2 linked regions of the Sus scrofa genome follow. Each later gene encodes a partner of the first gene's protein in a complex. Links are inferred from orthologs where the notes say so. Each region holds a gene or a part of one and is shown on either strand. Other genes may lie near its edges.

Region 1 (7,170 bases):
CGTGGCTCAGCAGAAGCTAATCTAGTATCCATGAGAATGCAGGTTCAACCCTGGTGTCTCAGTGGGTTAAGGATCTGGTGTGGTCGTGAGCTGTGGTATATAGGTCACAGACCCGGCTTGGATCCCACATTGCTGTGGATGTATGTGGTGTAGGCCAGCAGCTACAGCTCCAATTCAACCCTTAGCTTGGGAACCTCCATATGCCACCGATGCGGCCCTAAAAAGATAAAAAAAAATTATTTTTAAAATTCATGTAAATTTAGTTCATCTACCCAAAGTGCCTAGAAGAGTGCTCAGCACATACTAAGCTTAATGTAACTGTTACCTGTGGTGATGATCATAGGTGATATATGAAGCCACTGTATTTCTTATTGTTTGGTAATCAAGAATTTGTTTAGAACCACCTCTTTATTTCAAACACTTATAAACCAAAGGTTTCCAACTTCTCGTACAGGTTGAAAAAACTTTGTCTTTTCTTGAGCCACTCCCGCAGCATATGGAGGTTCCCAGGCTAGGGGTCTAATCAGAGCTGTAGCCGCCAGCCTACGCCAGAGCCACAGCAGTGTGGGATTCTGAGCCGCGTCTGCGACCTACACCACAGCTCACGGCAATGCCGGATCCTTAACCCACTGAGCAAGGCCAGGGGTCGAACCCGCAACCTCATGGTTCCTGGTTGGATTTGTTAACCACTGCGCCACAACAGGAACTCCAAAAAACTTTCAATAAAGATCTCTTGGGTACAAAAAATATGGTCCTAGTGGCTCAAAATTAATTATATAACCATTATTCTAAGGTCATACTTACTTGGAGACCTAAAGATTTTTTTTTTAATAGCAAAAACAAAAACACCACCATTTTGAAATTTTTTATTTTGCTTAAATGTACAAATGACATATAACAGTCCACATTCTACGGTTTCCACATTTAACCTGGATGATTTTCATAGGATGTTATTGTTCCTCATAGCTCAGATGCCTGATCTTCTGTGAAAGCCTTCCTTCCTACCCGCCAAATTAATCTTTTTCAGAAGTCTTGCCGTATGTTTTCTTTGTTTGCCTCTCCATGTTGCTGCTTCATTTGAAAGAGTTCATTTTCTAATTGTACAATAGTCCTTTCAATCTCGTAATTCTTACTGACCAGGGATACCCAACTAAAAAAGAAGAAAAGGGGGGAAATTACTTAATCTCTCTTTTAAGATTTTTTTTTGGGGGGGGGGGGTCATGCCCACAGCATGGGGAAGTTCTGGGGCCAGAGACTGAACCCTCCCCACAGATACAGCCTGAGCCACAGTAGTGAAAATGTTGGATCCTTAACCCCCAGTGCCAAAGGAATTCTTTCTTCTTTTTTTTGCCACACAGCATATGGAGTTCCCAGACAAGGGATCAGCTTCGAGCCACAGTTGTGGCTGACGCTGCAGCCAGATCCTTTAACCCACTGTGCTGCGATGGGGATGGAACCTATGTTCAGGTGCTGCAAAGATGCTGCAGGTCCTGTTGCACCACAGCAGGAACTCCAGGAATTCCTCTTAGAAGATTTTTATAGTATATACATTTTCAGCTGGGATCATTAAACTCACTTTTACTTCTAGCTTTACATTTTCAAAAACAATTAAGGGAGAAAGTGAGTAAAGGGTGTACAGGATCTCTTTTATTTCTTAACATTGCATGTGAACTTACACTTATCTCAAAACAAAAAGTTTACAAACTATCAAGAAAGTATCTCCCTCCTGCAAGAATCAAAAAGTAAACTTTTTTCCTTTTAAAAGGAGAATATACATAGAATCCTATTCAGAGCAGAAGTATTGAATGGAAAACAGGGAGCTTAAGACCAGAATCAATTAGAAGTGATTCAGTTTTTGTTTTCCTTCCAAGCCCAGACTTCATGAAGAGGCAGAGGCAATGAAGAGTGCGATTTAGAAAACAGCATTTTTAAGGCACTTTTGGCACCCCATTTGAATACTGTTTTCATTATATTGTTGAATTTTTATTTTATTTTTTTTGTTCTTTTTTTTTTTTTTTTGCTCTTTAGGGCCACACCCTCGGCATATGGAGGCTCCCAAGCTAGGGGTTGAATGAGAGCTACAGCTGCCGGCCTACACCACAGCCACAGCAACATGGGATCCAAACCATGCCTGTGACCTATACCACAGCTCATGGCAACACTGGATCCTTAAGCCACTGATAGAGGCCAGGGGTCAAACCTGTATCCTCATGCATCCTAATCAGGTTTATTAACCACTGAGCCATGAAGGGAAAGGAACTCCAATTACATCGCTGAATCTTGACGTTAAAATGTACTAAGCAATTTAAAAGATGATGGAACTGTAAATACTCACGTTGACTCCATTTCTCTTAATTTAGATCCAGCTGTGAGCTGCATGTTCTTTCGTTGCCAATTTAAATCTTGAATATGTTTCCTGAAAAAAAAAAATGTATTTATATAACCCATCTACATTTTAACATAAGACCAAAATCAGCAGAAAAATCTATAATTAATACATCTTTAATCACTGAGAAGAACAGATACATAAAGTTATGGACTAATTCTAGGAATTAACTTTCTTCTAATTATTTTTCAATTACAAATTTCATAAAACATGCTCACAGTGGAAAATACATACACACACACATGTACAAATTAAAAACTGAAAGTCCCTCCTCCCATGTGTTTCTCCTTCTCCCTGATAACTTCTGTTCAGTTTTTGGTGAGTGTTCCTTCAGATTTTTTCCTGTATGTACATGTACATATAGAGATCAGGGCTTTCATTTTGACATAAATCAGGTTATACACATTATTCTACAACTTTTTCCCCTTCTAAAGGGGACCTTTCAACAACTGCAGACTTGCAGATAGCAAATGACTTGGTAGAGATGCTTTCAGACACCAGGTCTTCTGCTCCTCCATTCAGGTGAGGCAAACTCGACACTAAACACTGGACTAAGAGCGGATCATCAATTGTCTACTCTCATATGACAACAACCCATTGTTCCTTCTTCCCACTCTATTTATTAAGGATTCACCTAACAATTTACCTTAATTTCTGGAGTTCTTTCTGGGCATGTTCAATCATATGAACTAGATTTCTAAGGAAAAGAAAAAGGAAATCAGATTAATGTACATTAAAATCAAATACCACCAGCTAAAACCGAACTATCTAGCTGATACAAGGTCAAGTTTTTCTGCTAAAAATAGTTAATATCTATTGAGCTCTCTGTGCCAAACACCTTGTTAGGCACTCTATAATACTAGTTAATTTAATGCTAAGTGTCAGAGGTGAATTCTACTTTAGATCCAAGCTGTTCACCGATATTCTGATTTTGTGTACTTACATTACTCCTTAAACTGTTATTACTTTTTTTATAAAGAAGATGGAAAATACTCATTTAAACCCCTTTTAATCTTTTTCATGCCAGAGCTCATGGCAACAACGGATCTTTAACTCACTGAGCCAGGCTAAGGATCGAACCTGCATCCTCATGGATACCAGTTGGATTCCTAACCCGCTGAGGCACAACGTGAATTCCTTTTTTATCTACATTTATTGCATTATTCTTCTCTCCTGTCTACTGCTAACTAAGAAGAGACCTGTTGTGGAGGGCTGCAGATTCAGATTCTAGTCCAAGCCTGCTCTAAGTACAGAGGGGAGAAGTTGAGTGATAACAGAATTCCATGAGATTATTATCATTAGAGAAGTGATTCAAGGCAGAGTTCAACTGTCCTCTTTTTCTTAAATAACAACTTCATTGAGATATAATTCGCATACTGTATCAATTTCCTCTTAAGGCAGCAGACAATCACTTTTGGAGTCCATTTCAACCATACTGACTACTATGCTCTTGCTGTAGATCTAGTATTGTTTCCCTGCTTTTGTGACTCAAATTTCCTGCTGTTCTCCTCTCTCTACTGACAAATTTTCTGTAACTAACCCCAATTCTCTAGAGTTGATCTTCAAACAGCTGTGCCTCTCCAGGCTTTCCTTTAGCTCATCCCACTTTCCTTGACTTTGACCATCATTCCATGCCAAGAACAACGAAGCTCAGTGGTCTCTTCCTGACCTCTAACCATTAACAGGGAACTTTCCTTTGCTTTTTTTTGCTTTCCTTTGAATTACCTCTTTCAGAATGCCCAGTTTGTCATCGTCTCCCTTCTTCCAGCCTCCCTCTTAAGTACCCAGGTCCCTCCTCAAGTACTCTGAACCTGAAACTTCCCACATTGTGCCACGGAGTCAGAAGACTTGGGTTCTAGTCCCAGCGCTTCCCTAAATAGGTATGTGTCCTTGAGTCACTTGACATCACTGGGCCCAAATCTGCTTATTTGTAAAACTGGGAGCTGACCTTGAAGGTTTACTCCTCAGTTTCATGTACAGAATTCTCTTATTAATGAATGAAATATACATACATATATATATATTCATATACATACATATGTTAGCAGTCCTGCTAAAAGCTAAAAGCACTGTCTAGCCTATTTGACACCCTCAAATCCTTCCACAAGGAAAGAAAATTTACTTTGTTAAGACATAGTACATTTCTAGAGAAGTATCCACTGGGTTTGGAGGAGAGAAAACATGGTGCACAGGAGAACGGCCAACACTATAAAGTGTTACGTAATTAAATGGAAAACACGTGCATGATTATTTGTAAAGTTACTAAGAACATGAAGAGAGTACCAGAGGTAGAATTTCAATCAAGGAAGACAAGGAAGCAGATCAGAGTCGGGCTCTAAATAAGCTGAATCTGGGTAGAAGAGTTCAAGGTATTCCGGGAGGAGGCAATGCCTGAGTAAAGGCTCAGGAGCAGGGTTTATGATAATTACCAAAGTCAGGACTAGTTTGGCTGGAGTCGAAGTCTACAACCGAAGTATAGCCTTTTGCTTTGAATACCATGTTAAAGAGTCTGGACCTTACCTTGTAGGTAAGGGAAAATTACTAAATGGTTTCTAGGCAAGTTGAAAGCAATGTTCTCTTCAATGTAATATTCCAGGCCCACCCTGAAATCTATGCCCTCCTCCATTCCTGGGATGTGCTCACTCTTTTCTGGAACGCTTGTGCACTGTTGGTGGGAATGTAAATTGGTCCAGCTACTTTGGAAAACAGTATGGAGGTTCCTTAAAAAACTAAAAAAAGTGTGATACAGCAATTCCATTGCTGTGCAATTATCTGGAAAAAATGAAAACTCTAAATTCAAAAAGATGCATGCACCCCAATGTTCATAGCAGCACTATTTACAACAGGCAAGATATAGAAGCAACCCAAATGCCTTTCAGGTGACAGGATTAAGATGTGCTATGCATATACACATACAGTGGAGTATTAGCCAGGAAAAAGAATGAAATACTGCCATAGGCAGTGATGTGGATGGCTCTACAGAATATGAAGGTTAGTGAAATAAGTCAGACAAATACTGCATGAAATCACTTTTATGTGGGATCTAAATGTCCCTTCTTTGGATCTCAGTACTTTATGGACCACAACATGCAATGCAGCAGTTGCCCCCGTATCACCAAAATGAACTAGTGGTTATCTGCCACAGAATATATTGTCTCCTCAACTAGATAAAGCTTCTTGAGGATAAAGAGGACATTTTTCCACTTAGTAAAATACAAGCATTTTTAGGAATGATCTGCTCTTTTATATTTCTTAATCCTTCCAGCCCCATTTCCCCTTTATTCTGCTTGTAATATATTCACAGTAGAAAGTGAATTGTTCTGTAGCTTCTTAAATGCTGGATTTTGCCCACAAATCTCTATATGGCCACAGAAATTTAAACACAATTCTGAAAATTTGGGAAAAGGTTTTTATCATTTTGCAATTTTGCTTTACAGTTTCAGGAATCATACTCTTTAACAGTTTTATGCACACTCATGAGGTTCAACGGCCTTTTCTCCTTAAACTGTTAATAGAGACTTGGGATTTTAGGGCCCAAAGGGGCCATGGAGATCATCTAAGCACTGACTTACAAATAGGAACTGAACCCTAAATAAATAACAAAACCTAAAGCTAATTATATGGAACAGAAATAGGAACTCAGTGGCTTGTTTTGGGATTTTTTTGCTGGTGTTAATTCTCTACTTACAGTCAGGTCTCATTATTTGCAGATTCTGTATCTGTGAATTTTTGCCTATTTATTCAAATTTTTCTGTAACCTAAAATCAACACTTGCAGTGTTTTGTGATCATTCATGCTCAGAGCAGCAAAAAAACTGAGTTGCTGGACATGAACATTTCTAGCTAGAGTGGAACAAGGTGATACTCTGCCTTCTTGTTTCAGGTCCCATACAGACATGACCAAAGGAAAGAGTTTAATTTCCAACTCTGGTAAATTACTTAACACTTCTCAACTTTGTCCTCTCTTTTATAAAGAAAATATAGAACCTGCCATGATAAGTTGCTTTAAAGTATTTAAGATTATAATCTATGTGAGAGATATGTATATCTACATATGTATGTATTTCTCCCAGGAGAACTGGCTCATTGTTTGCTAATTCAGTATTCAAGGCCACTTTATAAAGCAGAACATGCAACTAATGAGAGCTGACTGTATAAGCAATCCCCTACGTTCTACCATGCTGTGATTTGTAAATCTAGACCTCAGAACTCACTATTGCAATATTATACAATAAATGCATTAGTTTTAGGTCCCTTTAGTATTCTCAAATGTTGAGATGGGTCTCAAAGCAGTAGCCTTTTATATGAATTCTAGTTCTAGGACATAATCCAAGTGAAAGTCCAGTTATACTATTTTTAATCCTACTTCCCCTAGCAAGACTATGGGTGGGATGGGTTTAAAAAAAAAAAAAAAAAAAAGCTTCTTACTCATTATATACTTTCCAGGCATTGCATCCATGCTGTGACATTAGTTCCAGATTCTCAATTCGAACTGCCTGATGCTCCAACTGAGCCATAGAATTGTTTACACATTCTTGCCATGCAGTAATGTCATTTTTTTGACCTGAGGAAGGGGCCGGAAGTTCATATCTGAAATTAAACAACAATGAAATAAAATCACATTATTCTTCCAAACCTTTTGTCTCCTCCCAACAGGATCATGGACCTATACACATTGAAAACTACAGAAGACTTAGGTTGCAGACCTTGCAATAATAAGAAACCTATTTATCCTAAGAAACAAGCAATTGACAAACTTCAATGTGAACTGATTAAACAAGCTGC
Region 2 (7,170 bases), on another chromosome or scaffold:
GGGTGTTGCACCACCCATGGCATATGGAGGTTCCCAGGCTAGGGGGTCAAATTTGCATCTGCGACCTACACCACAGCTGATGGCAACGCTGGATCCTTAACCCACTAAGCGAGACCAGGGATGGAACCCACATCCTCATGGATGCTAGTCAGATTCGTTTCCACTGAGCCGTGATAAGAACTCCTCTAAACTTCTGAATGCATGATGTACATATATGTTTAAGCTCTTAGAAAACTGAAGAGTCAAGTTTGATATTTTGGTCTAAGAAGCCCTTAGCAATATAATGTCAATATGCTAGATTCATCTCTTCTACTGATGTCATTCATCATCCAGCCTGGGATTTGGGTTAATTATTCTAAATAGAAACATAGCTCAGGAAAGAAGGACTGGTCCTATGTTAAAGAGACCATTTTAAACATCTGGAAAGGAAAGTATAAAATGAATAAATGTGTATAGAATTAAAATGAATTGTAAATGGCAAAAATGGAGTCAGTGCTTTGTACTTTTTTACTTCAGGTTATGCATTGGACCCTTCATTAGATAATCATCAGGTATCTACTAAGTATATTGGTTCTGTAGAAGAAGCTGAAAAAAATCAAGGTAATTTATTTGAAATATTTAATATCAAATATATATACCTATACTTACTGTCCTGTAGATTGACTTTAGACAGTAGGAAAAAAACTAGTATTTAATTTAGCTCTCGATTTTTTTTTTTTTTTCAGTTGAGACAATAGGTGATAATAGTTTAGAGCAGTGTATAGAACTATTAGTTTAGAGCTGCTTTTGCCACTTCTAGGTATGCAACCTTGTAAGGGAGATTGTCAAACCTATTTTGGCATTGGTGTGGGGTGGATAATGAGTTGGGGGCATAGTGCCAACCTTGTAGAAATCATTTAAGAAATTAAAATTATGTATAGCTAATTTTAGTATTTTCATTCTCAACACTGCCAATGTCAAAGTTCATTTTAATAGAACAGAAAAAAATACTGTGCATGTCTTTGAAGAGTTGCTTTGAAGACTGAGTTTGAATTATGTGTTAAAACATATCTTTGTGCTCGTATTCATTTTGTACTTATTATAAGACAAAGCATCATACTCTAAATACTAACTTGTCACAAAGCTCATCAGCCAGTTGGAATCTCACCCATAAAATTCTCATTAGAAAAAGAATATGCTGTTTGTAGGAGGGCACTTAGTAGTTCTAGAGCCTACATAATCAAGCTGCCTTTGGTTTTTGAGCGAGGTTGTTAAAATAGGATTTTAACAAGTTTTTGTTATAACACACAGCCTAAAGGAAATTGATTTGAAATCATATAGGTAAGCTTTTTTCTTTGTTAGACTTCTATAAGCCACATCTTATGTCTGTTAACAGTTTCCTTGGGACTATGATGCCCATAAACCTTTCTTTTTCCAATTTAATGACTACACACAGCATGCCACTTCCTACTGATCAAATCAGAATCTTGACCAGAAACATCCTCTTTTCTTCTTACTATTAAGATTTATGATATTAGAGGTCAAGTTTAGATTGAGATAATTTGGAAAAAACACCAGATTTTTGTGAAACCTTGTATAATTTATATTGTTGCATTACGAGTGAAGCAAAGAAAGAGTTACTAATTACTTAGTATAATTTAATCCAATTCAGCTTTTAAAAGAGAAAGCTTAATTTATTCTTGCTCTCAGAGGTAACTTTATCATTATTTAGCAATATTAAATTGCCATGTTTCAAAAAGTAGTTAAAATCTGATAAAGATCTATGATTAATTAAAAATATTGTGTACCACTGCAGGATTACATAGCTGGGTCTTTTCTTCACATGTATTAGGATTTGCAAAATATTGTAGTAGTAGAAAGCTCCTTTGCCCAGAAAGTTGTCTTTTTTTGTATAGCATGAGTCAGTATATCTGGATTCATACAGGTTTTATTTTATATATTGTTATTTCTTTAGAAAATACCCATATTTGTGATCTCTGCTTTTTGTTTTTTAATTCAGGTTTAACTGTTTTTGAAACTGGTCAGAAGAAAATAGAAAAGAGGAAAAAATTCAAAGAAAATGATGCATCTAATATTGATGGTTTCTTGGGACCATGGGCAAAATATGTGGATGAAAAAGATGTAGCCAAACCTTCAGAAGTAAGCTTTATGATTTTCATTGCCAATTCAGGTGTATGCTGGGTCTATGAAGGGCATCTATACTAATAAACTTGAGGTTTCTTTAGAGTACCAAATGATTCATCAGAATTTCTCTGCCTTGGTTGATTGAGAAAATACAGTAAGATTCCTTTGTTTTTCTTTGGAATAATTTTTGTTTATATTTTTCTGTTTTATTTTCTTTCATACTTTTTAATTAGAATATAATATTGAATAATTTTTAATAAAAAAATTACCTTGATAATGCTGTTAAGGTGCCATGGTAGCTCCTTTTCTGATACCAGATATTCAGATAGTAATTACAGAATCAGCCTTTCTTTCTTTGATTTTAGAATTGATAAGTTTTATTAATTTATTTTAAAATTTTAACAAAGTATATATATATTTTTAATAATATTATGAAGTTTATAAAATAAAACTATAAAATTCTGCCTTGCCTCTCTCCGCCTCCTAAACCCTACTGCTTCTTATGAGCCAGTCACTGTTTTAGGTCTTAGGCATATAGCAGTGGACAAGATTAAGAAAATCCTATCCTCCTGAAGTTTAGTCATGAAGCTTAGGCTTATATCTCACATCCATCTATCTCAGTAATGTACATATGTTGCTATTTATTTACTTTCACACCTTCCTTTCATTGCTCCTCCCATAAAAGTTGTACCACAAATCTGTAGCCCTTGCTTATATCCTCATGACTACATGAAAGCTGTTTACTGAAGAACAACATTGTGAACTAAAATTCACTGTCCTTTCTGGTACTAGATTGTTTAATTGCCTCATCTTTTCTCTTGAATAATTAGCATAATATATTAAATCACTTTTTGAGTGCTCCAGAAGGATGAGTTTTATATAAAATGAGTTTTAAAGATTAACTAGTACCCACTGTTTGTGTAATGGTATTTTGTGATTTGCCAAAGAATAGCTGAGATTGTTATCCTGGGAGACATACTTGCAGATATTGTTTCACCAAAAAGTGTACCTCACTGTAAAGAATTTGACTGTTGTTGGCCATGAGGGGTTTTAGAACATCCATTTTATTTTATTTTTTTATTTAATTTTTTTTATGGCCACACCTGCAACATATGGAAATTCCTGGGCCAGGGATTGTATCTGAGCCACAGCTGTGACTATGCTGCAGCTGCAGCAATGCCAAGGATCAAACGCATGCCTCCATAGTAACCTGAGCTGCTGTAACCAGATACTTAACCCACTGTACTGCAATAGGAACTCCATAGAACATCCATTTTAAAGTTCATTTCTTAATTTCCTTAGGAAGAACAAAAAGAATTGGATGAAATCACAGCAAAGAGGCAGAAAAAAGGCAAACAGGAAGAAGAGAAACCTGGGGAGGAAAAGACTATCTTACATGGTAATGTATTTTTTATCCCTCTTCATTTTTATGATAAACTTTCAGGTAATTACTCTGTTCTCTGTTCATATATCAAGTGCCTTTACTAATCAGCTACTAGAATTCATTATTTTAAGAATTATATTGGACAGTTTTCATCCCAAAGAAATTACAGCAAACTCTTCTGTGTTCTAATAAAACAGAGATAGCCACAGATGATTTTTTGAAGTGCTAATGAATTTTTTTTTGAAAGTAGATAAAGAAGATTATGGCTAACAATCTGTTCTTTCCTAAGATAAAGTTGACTCTTTTTGGTGTATAACCAGTCATTTTAACCTTTTGTTTTTAACCCAAGCCAGATATTCTCCAGTTATTGTCACAGTTCATAAGTGTTACTAAATTGTACTTTAAAAGAATACATTGTTTCATGTACGTAGACTAGAGATTAAGATTCTTATCCTTACTTTGATTTTAGAAGGCAATACATATTCACCAAGATAAATTTAAAATATTTTAAAATCTACCTGGTTCATTAGTATCTAGTTATACTGGGGAAATTATGTAGTGATTAACAAACTATGAAAAATAACTCAGTTCTGATAGTATTGATTATTCTAATGTTATATCATTTCAAATATATAGGTTTATATCACTTATCAAATATATTTGGTTTTTCAAGTTTTAGTATTGTGGTGCTTGCAGTCATAATAATATAACAGCCAACATTTATTGAGTACTTACTCTGTTCAGCATGCTACTAAATGCTTTATATATACTATGTCATTTAATTCTCACAGGTAACTTTATTGAAAAATCTGGGTTGAAAGTAGAAAACAGAATGGAAAAGGAACCTGGAAGGGCATAAATGAGGAAAGCAGGGAAAAGGATATTTGATATTTTTTTGTTTTAACTTCCTCCTTATTCTGTTTTGCTTCTGATTCTTTGCCAATGACTCACAAGGCCCAAGAATTGTCTTTTCTCCTCTCTGCAATTATACAACAGTGGAGTCTTTTGTATATACCACTAAAATGTATAACTGAGTAAAGGAAGTAAGATCTTGTTTAAAGGTCTGATAGTGTCTGGATATTTAGGAATTCCAAAATACTACCTCTAATTGTAAACAACAGTGATGATTTCAGGCAGCTAAATTTTAGCTGACTCTTGGTCTTAACATCATCAATATTATTACCTAAACCTTAATATTCCCAATGAATAAAATTCTTATTATTTTAAGAATATAGATTTCATAACTAGGAATTATATTTGTTCACAGCTTTTTTTTTTTTGCCTTCTTGTTTCAGTTAAAGAAATGTATGACTATCAAGGCAGATCCTATCTTCACATACCTCAGGATGTTGGTGTTAATCTGAGGTCAACTGTGCCACCTGAGAAATGTTATCTTCCCAAAAAACAAATTCATGTGTGGTCTGGACACACCAAGGTAAACATATTAGTAGTTTTTGTTTGTTGTAATATATATTAGTAAAGCCAACATAAATTTTAGCTATTGATGTGGGACATTCAGTATTTCTAGGAAAGATGTAAGGAAGTCAAATAGAACAGAGAAGTCAAATTGAAAATAAACCAGAGTCAGACTCTGGACGTACTCACACATATGAGTCACAAATAAGTGCTCAGTCTTCAAGGTCATCTGGATGGGCCATGACATGAGCATTCATAATTCAGTGTCCTGTCCTCTTACAGTGGCCTAGACTTTTCCCTCCAAGTTCCCACCATAGTCTGCTTCCTCTTGGGCACCAAATCAGTGAGTAATGGGCTGGTTCTAGCAGTAAAGCCTCCATTATTTTGCCTTAGCTCTTGGGATTACCACACTTCAAAGAAGATTAGATGCTCCCTGGTTTATAAATTATAGTAATGTTTAAGCTAATGCAGAGACAAGATACTTGAAAACTTTGATACTGATATTCTTTGTTATCTGCACTATTATAACTGGTAACTTCCTGCTCCTAGCAAAGAGCAAACGGACTGAGCAAACGCCTGAGCAAAAGAAGGAAGAGGAGTGAGGGCATTAGCAAAATGATGGACTAAGAATTCCCTTGGGTTAGGAAGTCAGTACTAAAGGTTATTATTATTATTATATTGGGGCATAATTTTTGGAATGAAGAAAAATAGTAAATTTAGGTGGCTTAAAAATATACCACCTTTCCCTTCGTTTGATTTTAGCTGATATTTCAAATGCTTCTAATTGATAATTGTAATACCTTTTACAGGGTGTCAGTGCAGTCAGATTGTTTCCTCTCTCCGGCCATTTGTTGCTGTCTTGTTCCATGGACTGTAAAATTAAGGTGGGTTTTCAGTAACAGAGTAGGAGTGCTACAAAGCTAGTGCTTTGGTTAAATCTATTTGGCTAATTATAAATAAATCTGGGTTTGTTAGGCAATTAGAGGCTAATTATTTTCTCTTAGGCCCTTTCTATGCAGCAATTTATGAACTGCTTCCAACATGTTGATTCAGATATGGCTTTGTGGTCCAACTGGCTAGGCTCTTTGTAAGCTTAGATAGTCGATTAGAACATAATCAATCACTTCAGCTTTAGACACAAATATTTAATCACTAGTAATGCATTTTTATAGAGGTTTTTGGATATGTCACTGAGTTCATTTGTTCTTCAGCACCATAGAGGTAGAGAGAACCTGTGATAGAATTCCCATTTTTAAAGAGTAGATAATATAATTCACTCTTTGTCTCCTAAATGTTAGTAGCAGAATTGCTCCCAGCCTCTTCTCCCACTTTTTATAGCCTTGAGAAGCTCCACATTTAGCTAATGTTCAGCTGTAAATTGTGTGGTAGGAAAAGCTCAGTTGCCGATACATGTCAACTTGAATATGGGAAAGCCTTTTAAAAACTTAAATATGGAGGATAGTTTTTATATTTTTTGTGTGTTCCGCGTCCAGATCATTATAGTGGTCAATAAATATCAACCCTATGATGCTCTGGAAGCTTGAAAGGTTGACTGATGAAAATTTTATTCTTTGTAAATAATTCATGGTTAATACCAATATATAAAGGCAGCTTTTTTGGATAACAACCCTTTAGACATTTGCCTCTACTTAGTGGCTTAAAATGACGGGACAACAGTTTGGAGTTTGGAGTTAAAACTCTTATTTCCTTTAACTTTCACTCTACACAGACTACGTTAACTGAAATTAAGATCTTCTAGCCAACCAATTAAAAAAGCATAGAATTCAATTTAGTTCACCTCTGTAAACATTTATCTATTATGTGCAAGGGGCTGAGGATGAAAAATTACTAAGGTGATCACTTCATTACGATGTTGTAGAGGCAAGTGCAAGGTGTTCTCGTTTCAGAGGGGAGGCGTACCTCAATAGGAAGGTAACTAAGTAAAGGGAGGGGGCTGGGCCTAGGAAGGAGGGTATGTCTGAGAGGAGTGAACAGAATGAATCCCATGGTGTGTGCTGAAACCACAGTTTTGTGGTTGCTGGATGCTAAAACCTGAGAGGCACAGGCTGACCACCATCACTCACAGGGGATCGAGTCCTGGAAGTCCTTTCCTGGTGTGCTGTGGGAACTGAGACTTGATCCTGTTGGTACAGGGTGGCCAGGAAATGCTTTCTATTTTAGAACACTAGCAACATTGTCAAGGATTGCATTTGAGGCAGGCAAGATATTGTATTAAATCACTTCAG

The links.
Region 2: BCAS2 (region 1) and CDC40 share a complex: the UniProt entries of both Homo sapiens proteins name them as parts of the postcatalytic spliceosome P complex. The link is inferred for Sus scrofa from reciprocal best matches to the Homo sapiens genes BCAS2 and CDC40.

What each region holds. Positions count from the first base shown.
Region 1 is NC_010446.5:105,996,839-106,004,008, reverse strand, and holds the end of BCAS2 (pre-mRNA-splicing factor SPF27), read right to left. Parts: intron 6,976-7,170; coding exon 6,814-6,975; intron 3,084-6,813; coding exon 3,033-3,083; intron 2,417-3,032; coding exon 2,336-2,416; intron 1,151-2,335; coding exon 1,024-1,150; 3' UTR 849-1,023; downstream 1-848. UniProt on the Homo sapiens protein: Required for pre-mRNA splicing as component of the activated spliceosome. Component of the PRP19-CDC5L complex that forms an integral part of the spliceosome and is required for activating pre-mRNA splicing.
Region 2 is NC_010443.5:76,211,723-76,218,892, forward strand, and holds part of CDC40 (pre-mRNA-processing factor 17), read left to right. Parts: intron 1-516; coding exon 517-600; intron 601-1,999; coding exon 2,000-2,139; intron 2,140-3,426; coding exon 3,427-3,523; intron 3,524-4,803; coding exon 4,804-4,943; intron 4,944-5,733; coding exon 5,734-5,808; intron 5,809-7,170. UniProt on the Homo sapiens protein: Required for pre-mRNA splicing as component of the activated spliceosome. Plays an important role in embryonic brain development; this function does not require proline isomerization.